3 linked regions of the Oryzias latipes genome follow. The main gene of each other region encodes a partner of the protein of the gene in region 3 in a complex. Links are inferred from orthologs where the notes say so. Each region holds a gene or a part of one and is shown on either strand. Other genes may lie near its edges.

The links.
Region 1: nhp2 (region 3) and dkc1 share a complex: the UniProt entries of both Homo sapiens proteins name them as parts of the H/ACA small nucleolar ribonucleoprotein (H/ACA snoRNP) complex. The link is inferred for Oryzias latipes from reciprocal best matches to the Homo sapiens genes NHP2 and DKC1.
Region 2: nhp2 (region 3) and wrap53 share a complex: the UniProt entries of both Homo sapiens proteins name them as parts of the telomerase holoenzyme complex. The link is inferred for Oryzias latipes from reciprocal best matches to the Homo sapiens genes NHP2 and WRAP53.

The regions. Positions count from the first base shown.
Region 1 is NC_019880.2:47,662-52,043, reverse strand, and holds the start of dkc1 (H/ACA ribonucleoprotein complex subunit 4), read left to right. Parts: upstream 1-1,434; 5' UTR 1,435-1,510; coding exon 1,511-1,526; intron 1,527-2,254; coding exon 2,255-2,307; intron 2,308-2,374; coding exon 2,375-2,461; intron 2,462-2,976; coding exon 2,977-3,068; intron 3,069-3,138; coding exon 3,139-3,323; intron 3,324-3,984; coding exon 3,985-4,049; intron 4,050-4,382.
Region 2 is NC_019876.2:6,277,211-6,280,858, reverse strand, and holds part of wrap53 (telomerase Cajal body protein 1), read right to left. Parts: intron 1,149-3,648; coding exon 925-1,148; intron 1-924. UniProt on the Homo sapiens protein: RNA chaperone that plays a key role in telomere maintenance and RNA localization to Cajal bodies. Specifically recognizes and binds the Cajal body box (CAB box) present in both small Cajal body RNAs (scaRNAs) and telomerase RNA template component (TERC).
Region 3 is NC_019872.2:3,233,484-3,237,680, reverse strand, and holds the start of nhp2 (H/ACA ribonucleoprotein complex subunit 2), read left to right. Parts: upstream 1-1,345; 5' UTR 1,346-1,449; coding exon 1,450-1,603; intron 1,604-1,698; coding exon 1,699-1,768; intron 1,769-2,942; coding exon 2,943-3,048; intron 3,049-4,197. UniProt on the Homo sapiens protein: Required for ribosome biogenesis and telomere maintenance. Part of the H/ACA small nucleolar ribonucleoprotein (H/ACA snoRNP) complex, which catalyzes pseudouridylation of rRNA.

The sequences.
Region 1 (4,382 bases), on a different chromosome or scaffold from region 3:
TTTAAATGTAATGTATTATTATTATTATTAAATGGAGCTTGGAAACTTCATTCTGGTCTCAGCAGTGTAGGAAAGAAATCTTTGCTTTTCAGTTCTTTCCATCCATGCATGTTCAGTAGTCGAGACGAGAGTGGTAAAGCAAACAAGGATTCAACCGGATTAAAAATACACGAAGTTTATTTCCCTGACAATAGTTCTAGAGCACAGATTAAACATTAATGCAGATATATCTGGATTCTCAAGTAAAGACCTACTGACGCACAAGTTACATGCGAATTACATGCGAATCGTAGATTTTCCTAAGAACAGTAAAGTCCGTCCAAAACAGTCTTTTAAACATGTGTTTGACACTCCTCCTTCTGAAAACATCATGACCACTGGATCTCCGCCCCGGAACACTCTGATTCGTCAGCCGGTATCCCTTGTGCTTCCACCGGCCAATAGCTGAAGGTTGCCAACTCCAGATCCGCTCGCCTTTCAAAGGGGCGACAGTGGCTCAGGTGGTTGAGCGGGTCGTCCAATGATCGAAGGGTTGGCGGTTCAATCCCCGCTCCCACCAGCCAAAATGTCGTTGTGTCCTTGGGCAAGACACTTCACCCTCCTTGCCTCCAGTGTGGCTCCACTGGTGTGTGGATGTGTATGAATGATCCCGGTGATGGTCAGAGGGGCCGTAGGCGCGAAATGGCAGCCACACCTCTGTCAGTCTGTGGCTGTGGCTACAACCGTAGCTACCATCACTAAGTATGAATGAGGAGTGAATGAATAATGGACACAATGTAAACGCTTTGGGTGTCTTGAAAAGCGCAGATAAATCTAATCCATTATTATTATTATTATTATTTCACCGGCGCACACAATCCAACGATCAAGAGTCCTCATCTGGTCCAAATAAATCCTACCAGCCAAACGGATACTCCATCACCGGCACGTGATCAGAGGTCAGCTTCATCCTCCACATGAGAACAGGAATCTGAACACTTTCCCTAGGATAAGATGTTCAACCCAGATAGTAGAAATGTAGTCCATGACATATTTATTCCATCTCTGGAAACTCCTAGATTTGCACAAAGAAGTCCTAGTTGCTGCTGCAACTACAAAGCACAAGTGAAGGTCACTGGAGAATAAGTCCTGATGAGTTCACTTCACACTAAAGATAAAGCTGTAACATAATGAAGAATAAGATATTAAAACATACATTTTCTACAGCAGTTTCCTTCAGAAACAGATCTTCATAAATGACATTCATTAAGTGTCTCTTTGGGTTGGAAGTTCGGGAAATAACCTTCTTATTTTATAAGTCTTATTCCTTTTCTGAGAGTTTGTCAGTGCCCGAGACTCTGGATGAATAAAGAGCCTAAACCCTGGTTAACTAGTTTTTCGGTAATCCCAATACATGAGAGGAAATCCAAAAGCTCTCTAGCCCCGCCCCGGATGTGGCTCGATCGTCTTCCGGTGCTCGTAGACCAAAGAATAAGAAGGCGGACGCTCGCACGCAGTCACTTGGAAGAAGATGGCGGAGGTTGAAGGTAAGGGCGACCCACGTGGTTCTGAAGTTTTGCCAGAATCAGAACCGCTACCCTTAATGCAAAATCAACACGCCCGCACGGCGTTACTGACGCAGTTCCCATCGCACGCGCGGCGCGTTCTGCAGAGCAGGCCGCGCACCAAAGCAGGCCGAACCGCGCCACGTGCGTCCTGCTCCGGGCGGCCTACACGATAAACCGGGTCAGATTCGGTTCGCTTTTGGAGGTCTGCTACTTCAGGGGTTGAGCGCTTCTTTGGATTCCCGCCCCGCGTGGTCCTTCCAGTCCACGTGACGTGCAGGAAACGCCACGTGCGTTGGGAATAAGTCGTTAGTTTTTAACAAACACCTGTTTGATTCAAATGTGCGCGCGCCACAATCAAAATGGGAAACACAATTAGGTTCTGACTAGTTTATTATATGACAGTTTTTGGGTCGAACGGATCAGAGCCGAACTGCAGTAAAACGTGGCTCCGTTTCATGTCTGCACCGGTTCTAACCGGTTTACGATCAGTGCAAACGTTTCCACCTGCGGGGTCTCCAAAACGGTCAAAGATTTTGTTGATGATTCGAGACAAAAATCTACGAATTCAAGATTTTTAAGGATCCATTGAGATGACTTTAGCAGTAAAGCAGCCCCAAAGCATGATGCTTCCACCCCCATGCTTCACAGTAGGTAAATGGTGTTCTTAGGACGCCACTCCACTAATCTGCTGTTCCGTGTTTCTGCAGTAGCATCTGTTAAAAAGAAGAAAGGGAAGAAAGTCTGCGATGAAGAAGTTGGGGTGAGTGATGTTGTCTGGAGTAAAGGTAATCTCATGGATCTGCTGGAGCTGACTGTTTGTTTTCCAGGAGATCCAGAGGAGTGCTGACTTTTTCATCCAGCCAGAGTCCAAGGCAACATCTTTAAACACATCACAATGGCCCCTCCTTCTCAAGGTCAGCTCCACCTCGACCCCTGCCTGGGTCATGTGACATGTTGGCAATGTTGGTGTGACATGATGAAGCAGTTTATCCATTCTCTGAGCACTGCAGTCTTGGCGTTTCTTTGCCCGTCTCCATCTTTGGGGCCTGGTCTCTGCTGGTCACCAACTGTGACCTGGCGTTCTGCCAGGTTATAGGAGGTGACCGTGTAGAGGTGGAAGCGACCAGACTGTTGTCAAGATGATGCTCTGCTCTGATCACACGCCGCCTTGAAACAGGAAATGTGTGAGCAAACAAAAAAATGGCTATGTGGTCCAGGCTTCACTATCCGGCAGTGATTCAGATGGCTACTTTTTGGAGAGTATGTTACGAAAAAGTAGTACCAGCATGGGGTCAAAGGGCATGAGAATATTTGGGCAACCTGGTACTGGGGTTGGTTTCTCCCTTAGACAAAAAGCTAATTCAGGATTTAACGCCAGGTGTTCGCTTCGGTTGGTACATCGACCTCAAACTGTTTCCTGTTTTGGCAGAACTTCGATAAGCTGAATGTGCGGACGGGCCACTACACTCCCCTGCCCAACGGCAGCAACCCCCTGAAGAGGAACATTGCAGATTACGTCAGGTACATTCACGTTGCGTAGGGTCAATGCTATGACGCAGATTGCATAATGACACTGCCTCCTCTACTTAAGGTCTGGCTTCATCAATTTGGACAAGCCAGCCAACCCATCATCCCATGAGGTGGTTGCGTGGATTCGTAGGATTCTGCGAGTGGAGAAAACTGGACACAGTGGGACGCTGGATCCCAAGGTCACTGGCTGCCTGATTGTGTGTATAGACCGTGCCACACGATTGGTCAAATCGCAGCAGAGTGCAGGTACGGGTCCTGAGGGTGTCTGGCTGGGTTTTGGGCTTCAGGTCTGATTGGCAGATTACAATCACTAAGACCTGAGAGGGGATGGGTCTGATCCAGAACTAGAGCTGAGGATCCAAAGGCTTTTCTACTCTTCATTCTCTTCAATGTCCCCCTCCACTTCATCCGTACTGATCTAAACCAGACCCCCACAAATCTGTTTCTATTTAGTTTTTGCTTTATCTAAAACTGTGAATTTTAGTCCAGACAATGAAGATGGAAAAGGACACTCTAGCTTTAATAAATGAAAAGACAAAAAACGGATACTGATGATCCGAAATCAAACCTTTTGCTGATGCTTTAGTAACGCATATGGAAGCACGGGGGTCATTTCAGCAGCAGGCCATCTCTGACCGCCCTGGTCCACGTCAGGACGTTTGCTGAATATTTTTGTGCGCGCACACCTGGCTGCTGCAGTCAGCTGGCCTGACGTCTGTCTTTGCAGACACCATGTGACCATGGGTCCGCTACAGAGTCAAAGTACAAGGATCTGCTTCTGTCACCGGGCGATCCTCAGTCTGCCAGCACTGTGTGATTGGCCCACTTCACCTAAGCACTGGTTCCTTTAGCTGCGAGCCATTTGGGAGCCGTTGATTGGTTGAAGCCTGACTGTTCTGTGTTGCAGGTAAAGAGTATGTGGGGATCGTCCGGTTGCACAATGCAGTGGAGAACCAGCACGCTCTGGCCCGGGTAAGTCTGACCTGATGATCCAGTAAGAGCTTGCCTTAAGCACACACGGCTGAGGCTTGAGGTTCTGGAAGGTCTTGCATTTAAACCCTCCAGAGTAAAATCCTATTTCAATTCTTTTTTTTTTTATTGCAAACAAAAAGAGAATTGTTACATACATGAAATACAATGAAACAAAGAAGTGGTTTCATTTTGTGCACGGAGCCTCTTTGTATTGAAAACTGAAGGTTGCAGACATGAATGTGGGTCATTTAATCAGGAACAACATATTCTTGTGTAATCAGAACATTTCAGGTCATTGTTTTCTTTCTGAAATATGGAACTGAGACAATAATA
Region 2 (3,648 bases), on a different chromosome or scaffold from region 3:
TGTCCCCTAAATTGGCCGTTGACGATGATTGCTGTCAACCATCGGGATGGACGATGACATCGTCGGGGGGGGGGGCTGTTTTTTACATTTTTCGTTCTTGTATAACTGCTATTCGTTATTTTATTTTTTTTATTTTATTTCCCAACCAATGACTAATCTGTGATGATCCAGTTTAAACTGAAGGAAGTGACTTTAACAAAAAAAGTAACAAACAAAATAGAAAAGAAGTAGTCCGCTCCCGCACTTAACTAGTCAAGTGGACCGGCGGAGCGCGGATTTACAGCTTTGTGTTTGATGGGAAGGGAGGGGGGGGGGGTGCTCTGTTACATAGCGCTATGTGTGGGAGATTTAAGACTGCGATCCGTCCCGCAGCTCTAGGGGAACGAGCTACCGAACTCAGAACCGGGTCTAAAAGTGTGTGTCTGAGCACAGCTCGGATCGTCAGCACACACAGCGGCAGTGTGAGCTTCAAAGCAGAAATGTCGCTCAGTCCTTAGAAACCGTTCAAACAATCACGTGGATTTATGTTTCCAGTTGTGTCCCAACTAAATAAAGGCTGATGTTATTCCCACATGTTTACGTGTAGCGCCAACCAAAGCTAATGTTGTTAGCCCGTGTTAGCATACTGCTAATCCTGGCTTCTTTCCGGCTCCGTTCAGAAAAAGCATTGACCACACGGATTAAAATTCAAATGATAAGCGAACAGGTGTTTCATAATAACCATAACATTCTTAAAAGCAGGTTTAGAAGATCGTCTCGTATATTACCGAGCTGACATGTCAATGTATATAGCCGCTCAGCGCTGTTTAACATCGTTTTGTATTGAATTGTTGATGATATCGTCCATCGGCACAACCCTAGATGGCGTCTGACCGGGTGTCAAGAATGAACGTTTCGGTCCAGACGGAACCCCCCCCGACTCACCCATGGTGGGGCGCTCCTCGCAGTCTCGCCCAGGGCGTTCGGTGTGGAACACCCGCACAGTCTTCTCGAAGCCGCAGTACAGCCGCGTCCCGTCCGGACAGAAGCAGAGAGAGTGCGCCGCCGTCAGCTCGTCCAGGTGGTTGTAGGGCCGGAAAGTGGCGCGAACGTCGCCGTAGAAGGCGTCCCAGACATGGACCGGGTTGTCCCGGCTGCTGCTCGCCAGGCTGCGGGAGAGGGGGGGGGGGGGGGGGGGGGGGGGGGGAGAGAGCGGGAGGGAGGAGCTTAGACACCCGCAGACGGAAGAGGAAACAGAACAGCCGAAGATGGCGTTGGAGGCGGTTTCAGAGCGGCTGGTGTGAGCGCTCACCTGAACCCGTTTCTATGCTTCACTTTAGTGTGAAGGAATCAGAGCACCGACAGGAAGTGATGTCAGCGCTAAGCTGAATACAAAAGTAAAAGCCTATTTGACTGACACATTTCACCTCCACAAATCTCCAAACGTTTTTCCCGCCCAGCGTTCCCGTCAGGTCGTCTCGCTGGTCAATGACCATAAATGCTTCGACGCGTGTTTTTTCGCTAAGCTCACGTCGCCACCGGCAGTGAAAAGTCGACGTGGGTGCACGTTTAAAACGCCGTCAGTGTCTCTACCAGCGCGTCCACGTAGGAAACGTTTGGCCGCTGAACGTGCGTTGAAAGTTAAAGCAGGTTGACCAATCAGGGACTCGGATTTGGTGGCGATCTATAGATGGCGCCCCCTCGTAATTCAGGGAAGGGCCGACCGTTTGAAAATTCAGGAGAAATTGATAATTGCGGCTGGATTTATACGACGCCAAGTCTTTCGTATGTCAAAATAGAACGGAGAAAGAAAAAGCCTGGAGCCGGATTCACCGGCCTCTTCCAACCGTACTCTCTGCTAGCATGCGCTAGGAAAGAGCAGGAAAAGAAGAAGCCCCTCCCTGCTTGTCCAGTGTGAACCCCAACGCCATGTCAAGAATGTGCCGGTAGCCCTTTCATTGAAACGGTTTGTCCTCAACCTCCATCAATTTACACTTTCCCAGAATCCCCAACCGGCGAGCAGGAACTTATTAACCAGCTGAGGTTAACGACCAGTTATGACACGCGTCCTTGACATGTTTAGTCGTGCTGTGTTGACGAGAAAAACCGATTCAATTGAATGTAAGAAGACAATGCAAAGCTTTCTAAAAGGTCATACTTTAGCTTTTAGTGAAATGTAAACGTAATGAATCAAATGAACTAACGGCGTTAAGAAAAAATAAAAATACGTTTCTAAATGAGACGAATCGATAATCAAAAGTGGAAAATGGTATTTGCATTGAGACACAGTAGGTTTATTTTACTCTAACGTAGCGGACAAACGCATAAAAAAAAAGGATCAACCGTCGTTCCAGTCCAATGGATGGAAACACTTCAAAGTCATGTGACAAAACAGAATGTTCTATTAATGTTCCCTATGGATGTGGAAAAACCACAGTGGACTTTAGGAAACTAAAATGGGAATACATTTGATATTTATTCTTGTTTACTTGTTTGTTTGGACATATGTTTCATTTGCACTTGATTAAGTGAGGCTTAATGTCGGCCATTAACCTGTTTATACTGTGGTCACTTAGAATAGAAATAAATATTCAATCAGTTTTTAATACTTTATTCTAGGGCTGCACGATATGAGGAAAACTTGCGATATGCGATATTAGTGATCAATATTGCGATAACGATAAATTTGCGGTAAATAAACAAATAGAAAAATAAACAAAAACATCATTCCCATTTCATTGCAACAGTTTAAAAATTATACTCCAAATGACCCTCATCGACATGGGGGACAAACGTCAGGGTGGCTAACCCTGGTCCTCAAGAGCCTCAACCCTGTCTGTTTTCCAATTCTCCCTAGACTGCTCGATAATGATAACCAAAATCAGGTGTGTTCAGTCAATCAGGATGTGAAATCACTTGAGTCAGCCAATCAACAGCAAGCTGGTTAAGGAGAGCTGGAAAACAGGCAGGGTTGAGGCTCTTCAGGACCAGGGTTAACATAATAGGCCTCCATCTGATTGGTCAACAATGGGAAGGCGTCCATCTGATTGGTCAAAGCATAAAGGGATTTATTTTAAGCGTTAAATGCTTCAAGTTGCTAGAAGATTGTTTTAACACATTTTGGGTTTGCGATTTATTGCGATATTCGCCGTCTTTTGCCATATGCATATTGCAGAGCTGGATATTGCGATAACGATAAATTTGCGGTATATTGTGCAGGCCTAGTTTATTCTTACTTTTTTTCCTGTTTTGGACCGCTTTTTTCACAAAACGTGGACTATTTGTTGCGTGGCGCGTAGTCACGGCGCCATTCCGACCTCCGACCCTGACTGCAGGGGCAAAGGAAAGCGATAGATTTATGCTGATGATCACGATGTGTTAATAAATAAAGCATAGTTCAGAGGGAAAGTTCACCCGATCGCTTGTTTTGGTCCAGATAAAGTTTGCCTTGAAGAAGCCGGCGCAGTGATACAGAACATTTGAGCGGTGTGACCGGAACTTCTTTTTTAGGCGTGCGATTATCACTGTAAATGATGACTTTTTAATGCACACCCAGCAGCCAATCAGAAGAACTTGCAATATGGAATCTGGAAAACTTCCCCGGCACTGTTTAGGACCCCGGGAATTCTCTCCGAGTCTCACTGGTTGAAGATGTTCTGGATCCATTTT
Region 3 (4,197 bases):
ATAACCCACCTATCTTGATCAGAAAGAAATTTTGATCCAAACGAGTCTGATCGGGGCAGAGTATTCCGAACGGCGTGTTTACATGACGCATTTTTCTTCTGATCAGGTGTTCATTCCGATTACTTTTGTCCATGTAAACGCAGCCAATGACCTTAAAGCCCCGCCCCCAAGTAAAATTAGGCACTCTCAGTGAAAACTGAAAGCTAAGGAGGAAAGAAACAGAGGAAACAAACGTTGAAAATGCAAAACAAATAAATATTATTTTTCATTTGGTATCAGTTTAAGGTTTGAAGTTCTTGTTTAAACTTAGGGGTCAAGTTTTTTTAATTTTCATTATTTCTTTTGGCGTTTTCAATGTGTACTTTTGAGTTATTTTTTTTTTTACCTGATCCTAATTTCAATTCAATTCAATTTTATTTGTATAGCCCAAATTCACAACAACAGTCGTCTTGATGGGTTTCATATAATTTGACCCCATAGCGTGTGGCCCATCAATTTCAGTTTGTTTGACAATTGACTGTTAAATTTACAACTGGATAAATGGCGTGTGATATCATCCATAGAAAATGCCTTGCTTCTGGTTGCAACCAACTGAAGTCAATTCAGTCCCCATTTTTCTGCGATATGTCCTTCACCATGTGAGAAGCAGATGACCTCAGTAAGCCGTGATTGGCTTGTCTACATTTCTGTTGCAACCACTCTCTCCAATCAGGAGTGAGCCTGTTAGAAGGCCACACCCCTTTCCACTGAGAGCGGATAGGGAGGGTCTGTCAATCAAACGTTTCAAACTTCTGACGCTACTTTTATTAAGGCATCTGATTTGTCAGTTTATAACTTAGATAACTTTCACTACAGGAAAAATACCATGAGAAAAATCAGGATTAGCAATAAGATTTTAATAAAAGTTATCAGATCCAGAATGGTTATTCTGACCAATAGAATGACAGAGTAACAGCTGTTTATTTCTTAATAGAAGTCTATGGGGTTTTGCCTTCTTAGGACCAGCAGGTACTTCCTTTTTTGGTACACGGAGGGGGTGGGGGGGTGTTTTTCAGTCTAGTTCTTATTTTACTCTCAATGGTAACGACAAGCTTTTTTACACTGTAAGTTTGTCATCTACTCCTGATTCACAGCAATTTGAATAAAGAAATAACAGAAGAAACACACAAAAACACACATTTAATCTTAATTTTCTTTTTATATTTTCACTATCATGAGAAAAACACCACAAGAACTTAAACACAATTTCATTTTTGAAAGAAAGAAGCAAATTAAAGTCATTTGGAATGTAAACTTTGAAACGTCACGCTGCATTTCACCGCCCGGCCGCTAGCGGCGCTGTGATAAGCCGTAGTCTGAAAAAAGAAGCAGAGGAAGCTGAGCACGTGAGGTGTCCTCGTGTTAAGTTGTTGTTAGCAGACGTTCGGCTCAGAAAATCATCGATTGGAAATGACGAAGGTGAAGAAGGAGAAATTGGATGCGGAGGAGCCCGCCGGCGTCCCGGAGCGCTCCTATCACGAACTGATCGCGAACCTGAACCCGATCGCGCAGCCGCTGGCTTCCAGGAAGCTCAGCAAGAAGCTCTACAAGTGCGTGAAGAAAGGTACGAGTGCGGGACGTTTCCAGGTTGTGGATCAGTCCGGGTCCGACTGGGACCGGGTTGGACCAGGACAGTATTGAGCATTTTTGTGGTTTCAGCTGCCAGAGTGAAGAACATCCGCAGAGGAGTGAAGGAGGTGCAGAAGTTCATCAACAAGGGAGAGAAAGGGTGAGTTAGAACGAGCCGGAGCTGCTCAGGAGGAGGAGAAGCATGTTGGTGGATGAAGCTTCTCATAGGATCCTTTGTTTTTCTCTAGAATCCAGATAATTTCCGTTTGTCTCTGTGCTGCTCTTCATTTCTCATTTTATTGTCTGGAGCTACAGTTCTTTAGAACTTTAATGATGAGAAACTTTGCAAAACCTTTCAACCAAGTTCTTTTCTGTTTTAGTTGGGGTTTAGTCAAAGCGACTCAGTGATGTTGGCCAGTTCACAAATATGACTGCGCATGCGCGGGGTCAAAGGTCAAGGCCTCATTGGACGACAAACTTGGTGATGGTCTCTAACCCTAGCCATGATGAAACATATTCAAAGTTAAAATAACAGGACCATCTGCCCGGTCAGTTAACGAACTAAAGGCGCCCGACGATGCACCAGATGTGCTGCGACACAGGTGTGCTGCGACACAGGTGTGCTGCGACACAGGTGTGCTGCGACACAGGTGTGCTGCGACACAGGTGTGCTGCAGAGGCCTCATCCCCACAGCAGACGATGATAAAAAGGACGTATGCATGCGAAGCATTGGACATGATACAACTTGAGGACTGGATAACAGTTGTCTGGTTCAACATTAGGCCCACATGATGCAGTACTCAAACATTCCAGATCTATAATACTAGTAGAAGGCTTAAATATTCCATATGGACTATCTAAAGGCGTACGACATTCTTCTGTTTCTTTGACAGATCAGAATGCCACTTCTCTGCATTGACAGAAAACAATAACCCGATCCTCTTGTGATTGAAAAGGCTCTTGGGTTGGTGAGGAAGCAACTAAAACATGGCTGACAGAAATGTCAATATTGCTCACTCATGTCACTGAACGGTCTGTTCTTACTAGTATTTGCTGCTTTGGTTTTTTTGTTGCTATTTTTTCATTAGCTGACCCACCAACGGCAAACTGCATCTGCCGATGGACCTGTACTTTGTCTTTGGTTATGTATCGTAATGGCTGCGTTTTGGCTTAGCGGTCACCTTGTCTGCTGTCCATTGAGGTCTCGACCTTTGACCCCGCACATGCGCAGTCACCCGTGTGACTCAGTCTTTTGTGTTTAGTCTGAGGGGGCGTGACCAGAAGTGACTTCATTGCTTGCAAGCTGGTTTTCTGATTGGTCGTTGCTCTACAGGATCGTGGTTTTAGCTGGCGACACTCTGCCCATCGAGGTGTACTGCCACCTACCGGTCATGTGTGAGGACAGGAGCCTGCCGTACGCCTACATCCCCTCCAAAGTGGTGAGTCAGCAGCGCACCTATGCAGGTGTTCCTCTCTTTGAGGACTTCAAAAATAGCAGTAATGAAAGTGGATTTGCAGAGGCGATCCATGAAGGGATCTGCTGAAAGGTGAACCACCACCGACAGCAGTAAAGTTATAACTAAACCTCTGGTACGTTGTGTAAAAGTGAGGAAATATTTCAAATTTTATTTGCTTTCTTCAGAGAAACACATTTTTTCAAACGAGACCAGAACATTAAAGGTGGACATACATTCTGTGAAAGAAAGTTCTGGAAGTAAATACTGAGATGATCTCCACTCACAACCAAAAATCAAATAAATATAAATAGCTTCCAATATATTTATACACTAAACTAGAAATTCCTTACATCCAGTGAAGTATATTTGGGTTACAGTAGCAGCATTCTGGTATGGAGATGTCTTTGGTGGGTGGAGTTCTCAAAAACAAAGCGCTTGAATGTAAAAAGCACAATTTTACAGAATATGGCCTAAACTGTTTAAAATGGATATAAAGTGCCTCTATTGCAAGTTACAGGTACTTAACATTCTCAGCTGTTTCTAACTTTGCTGCTGCTGGGGTGTGTCAGAATTCCTTCACTACTCACTGCATAATGCGTCCACCTTTTTGTAGAGCTGTCTGAATCTACAATTACAAAATCCAGTGCCCTAGAAATTTACCAGAAGTCTCTGTGAAATACCAGTGTGCATCAAGGCTCACTATGTCGGTGAATATAGACCACAATGCATAGTATCAGAACAATTTTTGCCAAAAGAAAATGTATTTAAATGTATTTTTTTAATTAAACCATCAATGTTTTTATCTTCAGAACTCAGTGGACTCATAAATAATGGTGACAAAACGCTCATATGAATTAGATTTTAACTTTGTGAAATCAATTATGTCATATTCGCCATTTAAAATATTAAGCACTGAGCATTGTGTCTGAATTTTCTTTAAAATCCAGGGCACTAAATAGTTTTAGTAGTTAGGGGTTAGGGTGGGAGTTTGTCATCTTCCACTGACACAAGAGAAGGTGCTGTTCCCTCGACTCTCCTGCAGGAGGCAGTACAGTTCACCTCATAAAGGTGTGATGTCACCATCAGGTCTTTAGTTTTAGCTAACCTCAGTTATAATGAGAACTATTTCCA